Linked DNA regions of Drosophila melanogaster. Changing the gene in region 1 together with any one later gene gives a genetic interaction. Each region holds a gene or a part of one and is shown in the gene's direction. Other genes may lie near its edges.

Region 1 (4,293 bases):
GTTGTTCGTTTTTTTTTTTCTCTTTTTTTTCTCTTTTTTTTCTGCGGAAAGTCGGGAAAATCAGTCAATGGAACGTCACGGCAGAGCAGCGACAGCGACGCCGGCAGCGACGCCAGCAGAAGCAGCGCAGCATCGGGGGCGTACTAAGTTCAATGAAATACAGGAGAATGCAGGGAAGCAAAGGAGATAGGAGAATGGGTAATGGGTGGAGTAAAATCAAAAACCAAAAAAAAAAAGTAAGAGAAAATACAAGAACAACTTCATAAACTGCAAATCTAATGTAATCATCTGCTGGAAATTAACGATTATTTCGTAAACTATAATCGTAAAATGTTATTGTTTAACATTAACGAATATATGTAATAAGACTTTTCCTCAGTAATGAAATATAAAATGCACTAGTTTTTGCTTACTTTTAGGTTCCTACTTAATGTCTTTTTAATGCTTCTGAAATTACCTAAAACTTTCTTCATTTGGTGAAGAACAAACAAACATAGCATGTATTTTCAACAGTCTGTCTTGATTTCATATACACCAAGATCTTAGATATTATTAACTTATTATTATGTTTTTATTATTTACTAACCTCTTCGACTTTCTGCTGCATTTTGATGAAAAGTTTTAGTTTGCTGTGGCTGCAAAAACTTTTTTTTCAACACTTAACAGAACAAAATTTAAAAAAAAAATGAAACGATAGTAAATGTTTCAACTGGAAAACATTCACGGGATCGTCTACTTAAAATTGCACTTCCAGTGTTTGTTGCAGAATTTCTCCTTTTCTTCTTTTCTCTGTTTATCGGCGGTTGCGCGCGCGCAAAAGGTGCAACGAAGAAAGGAAACAACCAAACAAACAGACGGATGAATGGGGAGTTGGAGTACGCGCGAAGAATAATTGTAAAATTGTGCAGAATTGCAGACTTGGAGGAACGACCAGCACGCAGAGCAATCGAAAACACAACTGGCGGCCAAAATGAAACGAGGAATGTGGAGTGCATAAAGCGGCCGACGATAACACAAACACAGCGGCAAAGCTTCGCGAGCAATCGATAAGCCTATCGAATATACCGAAGCGGAGTTGGTATGTTCCAGGGCTGGCGACAGTGCAGCTATCTAGCTAGATTTAGCTATCTCGCTTGAAATTGGATTTGAATCCATTCACCATTCTGAATTATTTCGTTTGGAAACAAAGCATTAATTATTATTTGTAAGTTATTAAATAAAAAATATACAACTTAAAAATGTTCAGTGCTAGCTGTGTAATGTATGTTTATTATTTCCAATCTAATTGACATTGTATTTGTGGCTATAATAAAATAAATGAATAAATTACAGTTTGTACAATTTAAATTTATAAAAATCTTATTGAGCAGCTAATATAATTTCGGCTATTTTCTAGCTATCATATTTCAAAGACAGTTATCGGCCTTCATGGTTGTCACGGCAACAATAGTTGGTTTTCGGTATATAATCGATTGGTTACCTGGGCAACGGTAATTCAAAAACCATAAACAAAACATAACAAAATGGAAAACAAACAAAGAAGGCCAGTCATTTACATTCTTTGAGGTTTGAATAAAGAAACTAAAAATTTACTGGGCAAAATAATCATCGGCGAATCATGCAAAAAAGCAGAGACATAAAGCGCACTGGAGTTTATCGCGTGAGCGGAAACATAGGAGATCTGCAATTGGAACTGAAGCTGCGACACATCAGTGAATGGCTGCCGGTCCCCAAATTTGAATACGCGGGAGCGCAATCGACGAACGCATATGGTGACCACTATCCCGGATCGGAGGAAGATATCTGGCAGGATTGCTATATTCATGTCCCCCAGGGCGATGATTCGTGTGGAGGGAAGACTGGCTTGGGCTACAACTGCAGTTATTATAATGTGGGAATTGGTTACACCGGCAGGAGACGAAGGAGTCCAATATCTCAGCATGAGGGGGAAATGGAAAAGGATAAGAACGAGGGAGAAATAACGGATCTGGAGTCCCAAAGTAATCGGTCGTGGAGCATTCTCAGTGATAATAGTCGTCCTCCCGCTGGTGATCTCTTCTATAAACGGAATAAGGAACTCTGCAATGGTGCTATAGCCACAATACGCATATCCTGGCAGCAAAAGCACTTTAGTCAAGCGGAACTGGAGCAATATATAAACAATCCTGGAAGTTGCGCTTCGAAACTACAGCGGCGCTATCACAGGTGGGCCTTGGAAACCTTGAAGCTACAACAGCGATATCTAAGGAAACTGGAGAATCTGGAAGATGCAGAGACGGTGGAGGATCCTGAGCCTATTACAATTCGTCGCCGGATACGAAAGCCCAAGGCGAAGCAGAGAGGCTGCTCTGCCGCAGCTCACCCGACTATTACCAGTCTGTCCTCGGCGAATATGTCGGAGGTTTCAATACTGGATGACCCCAATTTTGCCGCCAGAACGTGCCTCATACACACCTTATTGGATAATGATTCCGAGAGTCTTATGCCCGCCGAAGCAAGTGAATTCCATAAAAAGGGCTATCAGCTAATGTACATCTATGCCGATCTGCAGCAGGACACACTGTTGGTTAGTATACGATATGATCCCGAACAGGGTCTGCTCTATGTCTATCCGGATTTCAGTAGCAGTGCCCAGGATCTGGATTATGTGATTCAGATCGAGCGGAATAACGATTGCCGACAGTTGTATGCCTTTGGCTTTGAGAATGTCACACCGCTAGAGGCCTACGACGATGATGGTTTCTCTGAGGAGGCGGATGGCGAGGATGAGCAGGAACTGGGCGATGGTTTACCCATCGAAGAAGATCTGCCCGAAGAAGCCTCCGCCGAGGAGATACTCGAGTTTTATCGCAGACGGCGAGAAGCAGCCAGCGAGAGGAGAAGTCTCCTCCAGTTCGAAATGCCGCCCAAGAGGATGAAGCGGGTCAGCCTGCTGCTGGAACTACAGGAAGGCCAGAACTTTGAGAACCCCAACATACATGTAAGATACTATCTGAAAGCACCAGCAAATACCTTTTATGAGGGTACACCTGGGGTGGATACCATGCAGGGAGCGACGGCCACGTGCAGGAATGCCGGCGACTGGAGGAGTGCCCATTTGGGTCACTGCTGGCAGGTGACCCTGCTGCTGGAGGAACAACATCATCCGGCTGATCTACTGCATCTATATTTTGAAGTGATCAGCATAGATAGCTGGCAGCGGGAGCGATGTGAGGGATATGCTCACTATGCGATACCGTTAACATCCGCCCTGCCAACGGACTCCATACGGCTGCAGTGCATCCGACCACTGGGCAACTGGCTGGATGCCCTCAATCGGTATTTCATAGGCGGTCGTCAGCTGTTCGACTTTGAGTCCTTCTTCGATGTACATCGGCAATCGGAAATGCATTCCCGTTTGAACTTCAACTCTGACAGGCCAATGACCACCACGGGAACACTTTCGCTCCGGCTTCAAAAGCTTCAGCAGCGCCAAATAGACACATCTGATCAGTTCCATCACCACTTCCATCTGGAACTCGGCAACGATAGTAGCGACGATGGCGATAGCAATGATGACGATGTCAGATCCAGTTCAAATCCGGATACTTCGAGGGCCACCACTCTGGACGAAGTAATGGCCGCCTTTGTGGAGGCCAGGAAACGGATCGAGCTGCTCCTGGGAAATAGTTCAGAAACAGCCTCACCATCATCTGCATACTACCAGGCTGAGTTTTAAGCCCTTCAATGAGTACAATAATATGATGACAAATAATTTTTTTTTATATAAACTATAATATTTGTATAATTATTAGTAATTAATTATATTATGAAAGACGTATTTTTTTTTATGTATGAGTAAAAAACGTGAGAAGCATATGTATGTACATTTGATGTGGAATATTTTGGATAGATTATTTAAGAACGAGCTCAAAGAGGTATATATTCAGACACCTATTTAAAAAAAAACCGATAATATTAATTTCAAAAATCGGAAAAACGGTATTGGCAAAATTTCATACATTTTTCGATGGGAATTTTAATCATAATTTTGCTAATAATAATCATTAAGATGTAATGTAAACAGTTTTGGACAGCTAATTACCATTGCTAACGACCCCAATCACTTTTTGAGGGATTTAGGAAAATTTATTTTTGAGTCAATTTTCTCATTTTTTGTAAGGGGTAACATCATCAAAATTTGAAAAAAATAGCAAAAAAATAGAATTCCTTTTTTTTGACACAGTTTGATGGGAAATTTAATTACGAGCTCATTGAGGTATGACATTCAATATTCAGGCAATTATTTTTAAA
Region 2 (6,203 bases), on another chromosome or scaffold:
ATGTCAAATTACTTATGAAGCGAGTTGGCAGCTCCGTGTCCAAGAGCAAACACTTATTTTTAAACATATCGATATAATGCAGCAGTTTAGTGCGCGGGAGAAGTATTTGGTGTCCAACACCTTAAATTGTTGGCCCGTGATGCTGCAGGGTCATTCCGTACTGATCGATCTGCACAACGAGACCTCTGTGGCCGGAATCATCGATGTAGCGGATGGACACATGACCTGCGAGCTCACCCATGCAGTTTTCATCGATCGCAATGGTGGTCAGCACCCCTTTGATCACTTTATGGTGCGGAATCGAATGATACGGCAGATCCACATACCTTCGTACTTGGATGCCGAGCAGGAACTTCGAAGCGCAATGGAACGGGGAGTCCTGCGAAGAAAGCGAGTGGAAACCAAGGGCGGAAAGCGGACATTCAAGCAAAAACGAGCGGAAGTGCGACACAAGGAAACATTGCAAATGATCTCACAGCAAAAAAAGAATAAGGAAACCTAAACTATTAATATATGCGTACTTGTTATATTTACCAAAAATACATTACATACATACAACTACATTTATAGTAATAAACCTATGAAAAGCAAAACAAATTAGCCCAATCAATTATACACAAAACATAGTCTCTAGCACGTTTATTTATTCCAAGAAATTCAAACGTATACAAACTGAATATCTTATATTCCCTTAATCAAAACTCTACTTAGCGGCCTGCTGCTTCAACTGCTCCTGGTACATGTAGTGCAGCTCCATGCAGTCGGTGTTGGAGATGTTTACCCAGCCGTCCTCCTTAATGTGATACACGCGAATGATACCACCGGAGTAGGCATCCCTGAAGGTGGCATGGTAGATGGCGCGACGTCCCAGCTCCTGGGCCTCCTTGTCCTCCAGGTCCCAATGATAGCCAGAGTCCAGGACACCGTAGGCGTACAGCGATCCACTACCAACAGAGAACAAATTGCCAGGCGTGCGAGATCCCTCGGAGTCCACATAGTAGAGGCCTGGACCACGCTTATCGTAACCGGCCAGCATCATGCCCATGCTCAGACCCATTCCCTTGTATTCGTGGGCAATGTTGGCCATTATCTTGCTGGCGGCGGCCACCGAGATGCGTTCCTTGTTTCGAAGCTCGTGAAGGCGGCATTCCTTCGAAAGGACCCTGTCCCAGTAAACGCAATCGGCTGCGCCACCGGCCAAGGTGCCCAGCATGAACTGATTGATCTCCACGATCTTCTTCATCGACTGGGAGCCAATGTACGATCCACCCGTGGCACGGGAATCGACTGCCAGGAGAACGCCGCCCTTGAACTTGAAGCCCAACGTTGTGGTGCCGTGATCGAAGTTGATTTTGACGCCGGTCTTGTCGCCATTGGCCTGGATCTGATTAAGGTTGTGCAGGGGCTGAGGAAATTGTCAAATTTTTTAGTAAATTTCCCAAGAAGATCAGCTAATTAACTACATACGTTCTCGAATGGCGGAGCAGCCAGTGTGTAGGGATTGGCCAGATTGCACATAAGCCCTTTTTGCTCTTCCTCCACATCCGCCGATGACCAGGCATTGGGCCGCATGTACGGAGCATTCGATATCTTGCAGATTTCAGCTAAAGCCATTCTTAAAGCTCCTTAAAAAACAATTGGAAACGTTGAATGCGAAATGCCGATGACAAACAAAATTCGTTGCCTACTTGTAGAGTGACCGTACTTCTGTTGGAGCAATAATGCAGACTATCGGCTTCACCGTTAGCTGTCGCAGGTACGGCAACCCAGCTCGAAACCTGTTGCCAATTTTGCCTGTGATTGGCTTTCTTTTAGTCTCTTTTTAGGCCTGGCTTGAAGCCAAATTAACTCTGGGCGTTCCATCAATCCATCAATGGCCAAATACTGCAAAGTCGGGTACTGAACAATAGTCGAAAGTAAACATGTGTAAATACGTGAGAGTGGCGAATTGCAATGCGTAAATTGCGGTCCAAAGACGGGATTTAAAATTAGTGAAAAGTAAGTCGGGAATCGAGAAAACCTAGGCGCACTTTAAACCTGGTTTTCAGGTCTAGAAATTTACTGTAATAGTGTTGAACATTTAAGAAACCATACATGTTTTATCAATGTGTTATAATGAAAGACATTTAATCTACCCTCAAAAAGGTTGTATTTCAAATTACGAGTCCTTTATTTGATCGCTTTTGGTAACTCCCACTTCTATTTGTAATGACAATTACTACGTGGTACGCCATTACGTGAGGCACACATACATGCGCATACACGGCTAGAAAATGTGCGATCGAAGATCAGATTCATTTGATCCCAGGTCAAGTTAAGCTCTTTCGTCGTCAACAAGGTTATATCAAAGAATACCATCTTTCATATGATTTTCGACATATAAACGATTCTAACGGTAATTACGGTACTTTAAGTAAGATTTTTCATTTATTAAAGACAAAATGTAGTTCTAATATAAATAATTTTTTTAATTTTATCTGGTTTTGATAAAGTGTTACTTAAAAAGTTATAATTGCAACACATCATGATAAATGAATGAAATTATAATTTAACAAATTTGATAAATAATGAATATTTTCGCAGACAATGCAGCATGGATCCTCCCGCATTCCGAAACAGGAAGCTCTCCCGAATGCGATATCCGGGGTAAGTAAGGGCACTTGCCTGAACCAACAAATCTTACACCGATGTAACTTCTTTTTCTGATTTAAGCCCGACTCCAGCAATTGGACTTCGCTGCACGAGGCGGTAGCCGCCGGAGATGATCGCCGGGTGGAGGGTCTCCTGTTCAGCAATGCTGATCGACTGGCCAGGGAATCCGTGCAGGGGAATACCCCGCTCCATGAGGCCGCCAGTCGGGGGTTCAGTCGCTGCGTGAAATTGATCTGCACGCCCCCCACGCCACCCGCTTCCTCGGGGGTGGGAAAAGCAGCAAAGGGACAGAAGGACAAAGACAAGGATAAGAACAAGGGCAGAGTGAAGGTGGCCCACCAGACCATCGAAGCCCTACACAATAGCGCCCTGGGTATTGCCAACAACGAAGGGTTGTCCGCCCTGCACTTGGCCGCTCAAAATGGTCACAATCAGAGCTCTAGGGAGCTACTGCTGGCCGGCGCCGATCCCGATGTCCGGAATAATGTAAGTGTTGGATCATATCAGTGATAACCATGTTTAACATGTTTAACAATTTCAGTATGGAGATACTCCGCTGCACACCGCCTGCAGATATGGACATGCAGGAGTCTCCCGGATCCTGCTCTCCGCCCTTTGCGATCCGAATAAAACAAATCTGAACGGCGACACCGCTTTGCACATCACCTGTGCCATGGGTCGCAGGAAGCTGACAAGGATTCTCCTAGAGGCAGATGCTCGGCTGGGCATTAAAAACGCACAAGGCGACTGCCCCATGCACATAGCGATCAGGAAGAACTACCGTGAAATCATCGAGATCCTGAACACGCCGAAGAAGATACGGAATCGCAAGGAGAAACCCAAGGAGGGCGGCAGCAGATCGGACAAGGACAGAGATCGTGAAAGGGATGTGGTGGACAAGGGTATCAACTGGTCACCCTATGGCTGTCACTACTTTCCCGATCCGCGTGCCTTTCCTTCACCAAAACTGGAGACACTGCCCAAGGAGCCACTTAAGTCGGGGGAGCAATACTTCCTGGATTTGGCTGGTCATATTCACAAGGGTCCGGTCAGCGTGGGCAACACATGCTATTGCGGTCCCTTCTTCCGTCACATTGAAAACAAACTAAATTGCAATCGAAAGAGTTTGAAGAAATACGTTCACAAAACCAAGGAACGTCTAGGTCACAAAGTTCAGGCATTGGCAATCAAGACGAACGATCAGATTGAACAGCTCACAAGAACGATGATCGAGGACAGATTGCGATGCGAGAGCAAGAGGCAGCACCTCAGTGAGTTCCTGCGACGAGGTGAACCTATGCGGTCCACCTTCGATCAGCAGAACAAGAGCTCAAGGATCGAAAGAACAATGTCCAGGTGCCGCAGTCTAGAGCTCTTGGAAAACAACCACGAAGGTGGTAGGCTCACCAACTCACGGAGTGTAGATGTCCTGGAAGATCAGGCAGTGGAGGCTATAGTACACCGATCAGCGGAGGTCCAGGTGGATAGCGACAGCGATGACGATTCCAATGAAGCTCGGGATGAAGAAGAGGCAGAAGTGGGTGACAAGGACCAGGTGCAAGAAGAGGCGGAACCAGAGGAGCACTCGAAGCTAGATGAACTTAAGCTAGATTTCCTAAAAGTCTCCGAAAGACTGGGAGTGCTTTTAGAGAAAACCACCCTGATCATGGAAAGGGACAGCGAACAGGAGAGCAAGCGCCAGCTTTCTTCCTTATCGCCACCTTATAATCCCCATCCAAGGGCGGAGTCTGCCCAACTTCGAGAAGATAAAGAGAGTGTTAATAGTCCCAATTTCGACGAGTACGCCAACGTGATACGACGCTATCCGAACTCCAGTGAGACCTCAAATCCCTCCCAGAACTCCAACAGCTGGGACTGGGAGGCATCACCCACGGGCAGCAATCCCCACCCGGATTACAATAAGTACTACCAGCGCATTGGGAGAGGAGAGAACATGCTGAACTCGGTGATCAAGGCGCTTCGAAAAGATGCCTCCTTCGCGGATCTGGGCAAAGAGGAGACGGCTGTCAATGAAACTGCCGAGGGAATGGGAGGCGACAAGCTGCTCTACAAGGAGCAAGCGAGCGAGGCGGCAGGTATCTCCAATCTGATGAAACGGCAGCCTCTTTGCTTGGAAGACAACTATCCCGTCATGTCGAATTTATTTTACTCCAATCCCATCATGGAGTACGCCGAGGAAACAGAAGTGCGTCAAAATGGCAATGAAAGTATGAGTAAGGTGGAGATTCGGAACAGTGAAATCAAGTGCCTAAAGAAGCCGAACGCTGGTCAGGTGAGGGATATGGTGGCCCAACTGCAAAACACCATTGACTCCAATCGACAGGACTCCCAGACGGCACATGTGATCGCCGCAAGATCACACTCCCGCTTGAACAATAACTTCCATCACTTGGAGGGCACCTCTTCGAACCCTTCGCCCACGTATAGTATTCCCCACCGGAGTAGCGCCCAGTTTGGGCTGCCCGAGAGACACATACCCAAAGATGCTTACTTCCATGAACTGCCCCACCGTCCACCGATTCCGCAAACTCCGCAGAGAAGGCTGCACTCCGGCTACGTACCAAATGCGAGTCTCTATCGCAGTGAAGATCTTTACGTGGGAAGGATTCCACATCCAAATGCTCCACCAAGACAAGTGGACTACGTGGATGCGGTAGCCTATAGGCCTCTGCAGTCCCCCACCTTTCAGGCCATTGTGCCGCCCCATGTTAATCAAAGGCCAAGGAACTGGCCTCATCCCAATCTTCCATCCAATGAAATCGATCTGGACGAGCTGTCTGCCGTTGGCCTCTACAACAATGTCTCGAGTCTAGTTTGAGTTCGGTAATCCCACAGCTGTTCCCATTGTACATAGCTAATCCCTACATATTTATCTTAATTGTAATCAAGTTTTAAACTACAAAGAAAAGTTAACTTATTTTCAACTGATGCATCTAATCTGGAGGGTCTAAAATATATAAATATAATACAAAGATATATGTACAATAATTTTGTTGTTTTTTGTTGAGGAGTTTTGGGTCTGAGTGTTTTCATATTCTGCGTAATTTATGAGAATATCGTGTACTTAATTATTTGGTTATTCCACTTTTGACCCCAAAAATACCCAAAATATTAAAAACGTTCCAACCTGCTCGCTTGTAAATCAAACGCAACCGAATGTTTTCGATCAAAATATATTTTTCTTTAAAAATGTTTAATAATAGTATTTATGCATGTGTAAATATCAGAATGTCAAGTACATATATTTATTGATAACAGATCATTTTGGTGTTTTGATAGACATGCGGCTTATGAACTCTGTATAATTGTGTAAACGAAATCAACCAGGAAATCATCTCAATAATCGAGCTCCGATGTTTGGTGGGAATTCAAAAAAACCAAATCCCCACCGCTGACAAAAGTAAACAAGTAAATTGGGCAACATTTTGATATCGTTCACCAATATGTCTGCGGTATTGTTAGTACAATTTTAGCAAGTGCCTAATGATGATTTCTCGATGTCTTCGTAGTTAATTTAAAATTCTATAAAT

The links. Genes that interact genetically often act in the same process or in processes that back each other up.
Region 2: of Mks1 (region 1) and dgo, changing one enhances a phenotype caused by changing the other (phenotypic enhancement), as found in Drosophila melanogaster (one study listed by BioGRID).

What each region holds. Positions count from the first base shown.
Region 1 is NC_004354.4:12,493,887-12,498,179, reverse strand, and holds Mks1 (meckel syndrome, type 1), read left to right. Parts: upstream 1-1,582; 5' UTR 1,583-1,618; coding exon 1,619-3,718; 3' UTR 3,719-3,785; downstream 3,786-4,293. Other genes in the region: mdu (meduse), read right to left, coding at 587-607. UniProt on the Drosophila melanogaster protein: Probable component of the tectonic-like complex (also named MKS complex), a complex localized at the transition zone of primary cilia. Required for ciliary structure and function.
Region 2 is NT_033778.4:10,815,484-10,821,686, reverse strand, and holds dgo (diego), read left to right. Parts: upstream 1-1,802; 5' UTR 1,803-2,395; intron 2,396-2,583; 5' UTR 2,584-2,586; coding exon 2,587-2,646; intron 2,647-2,712; coding exon 2,713-3,138; intron 3,139-3,193; coding exon 3,194-5,491; 3' UTR 5,492-5,650; downstream 5,651-6,203. Other genes in the region: Lsm10, read left to right, coding at 77-502; Prosbeta5 (proteasome beta5 subunit), read right to left, coding at 704-1,405, 1,468-1,614.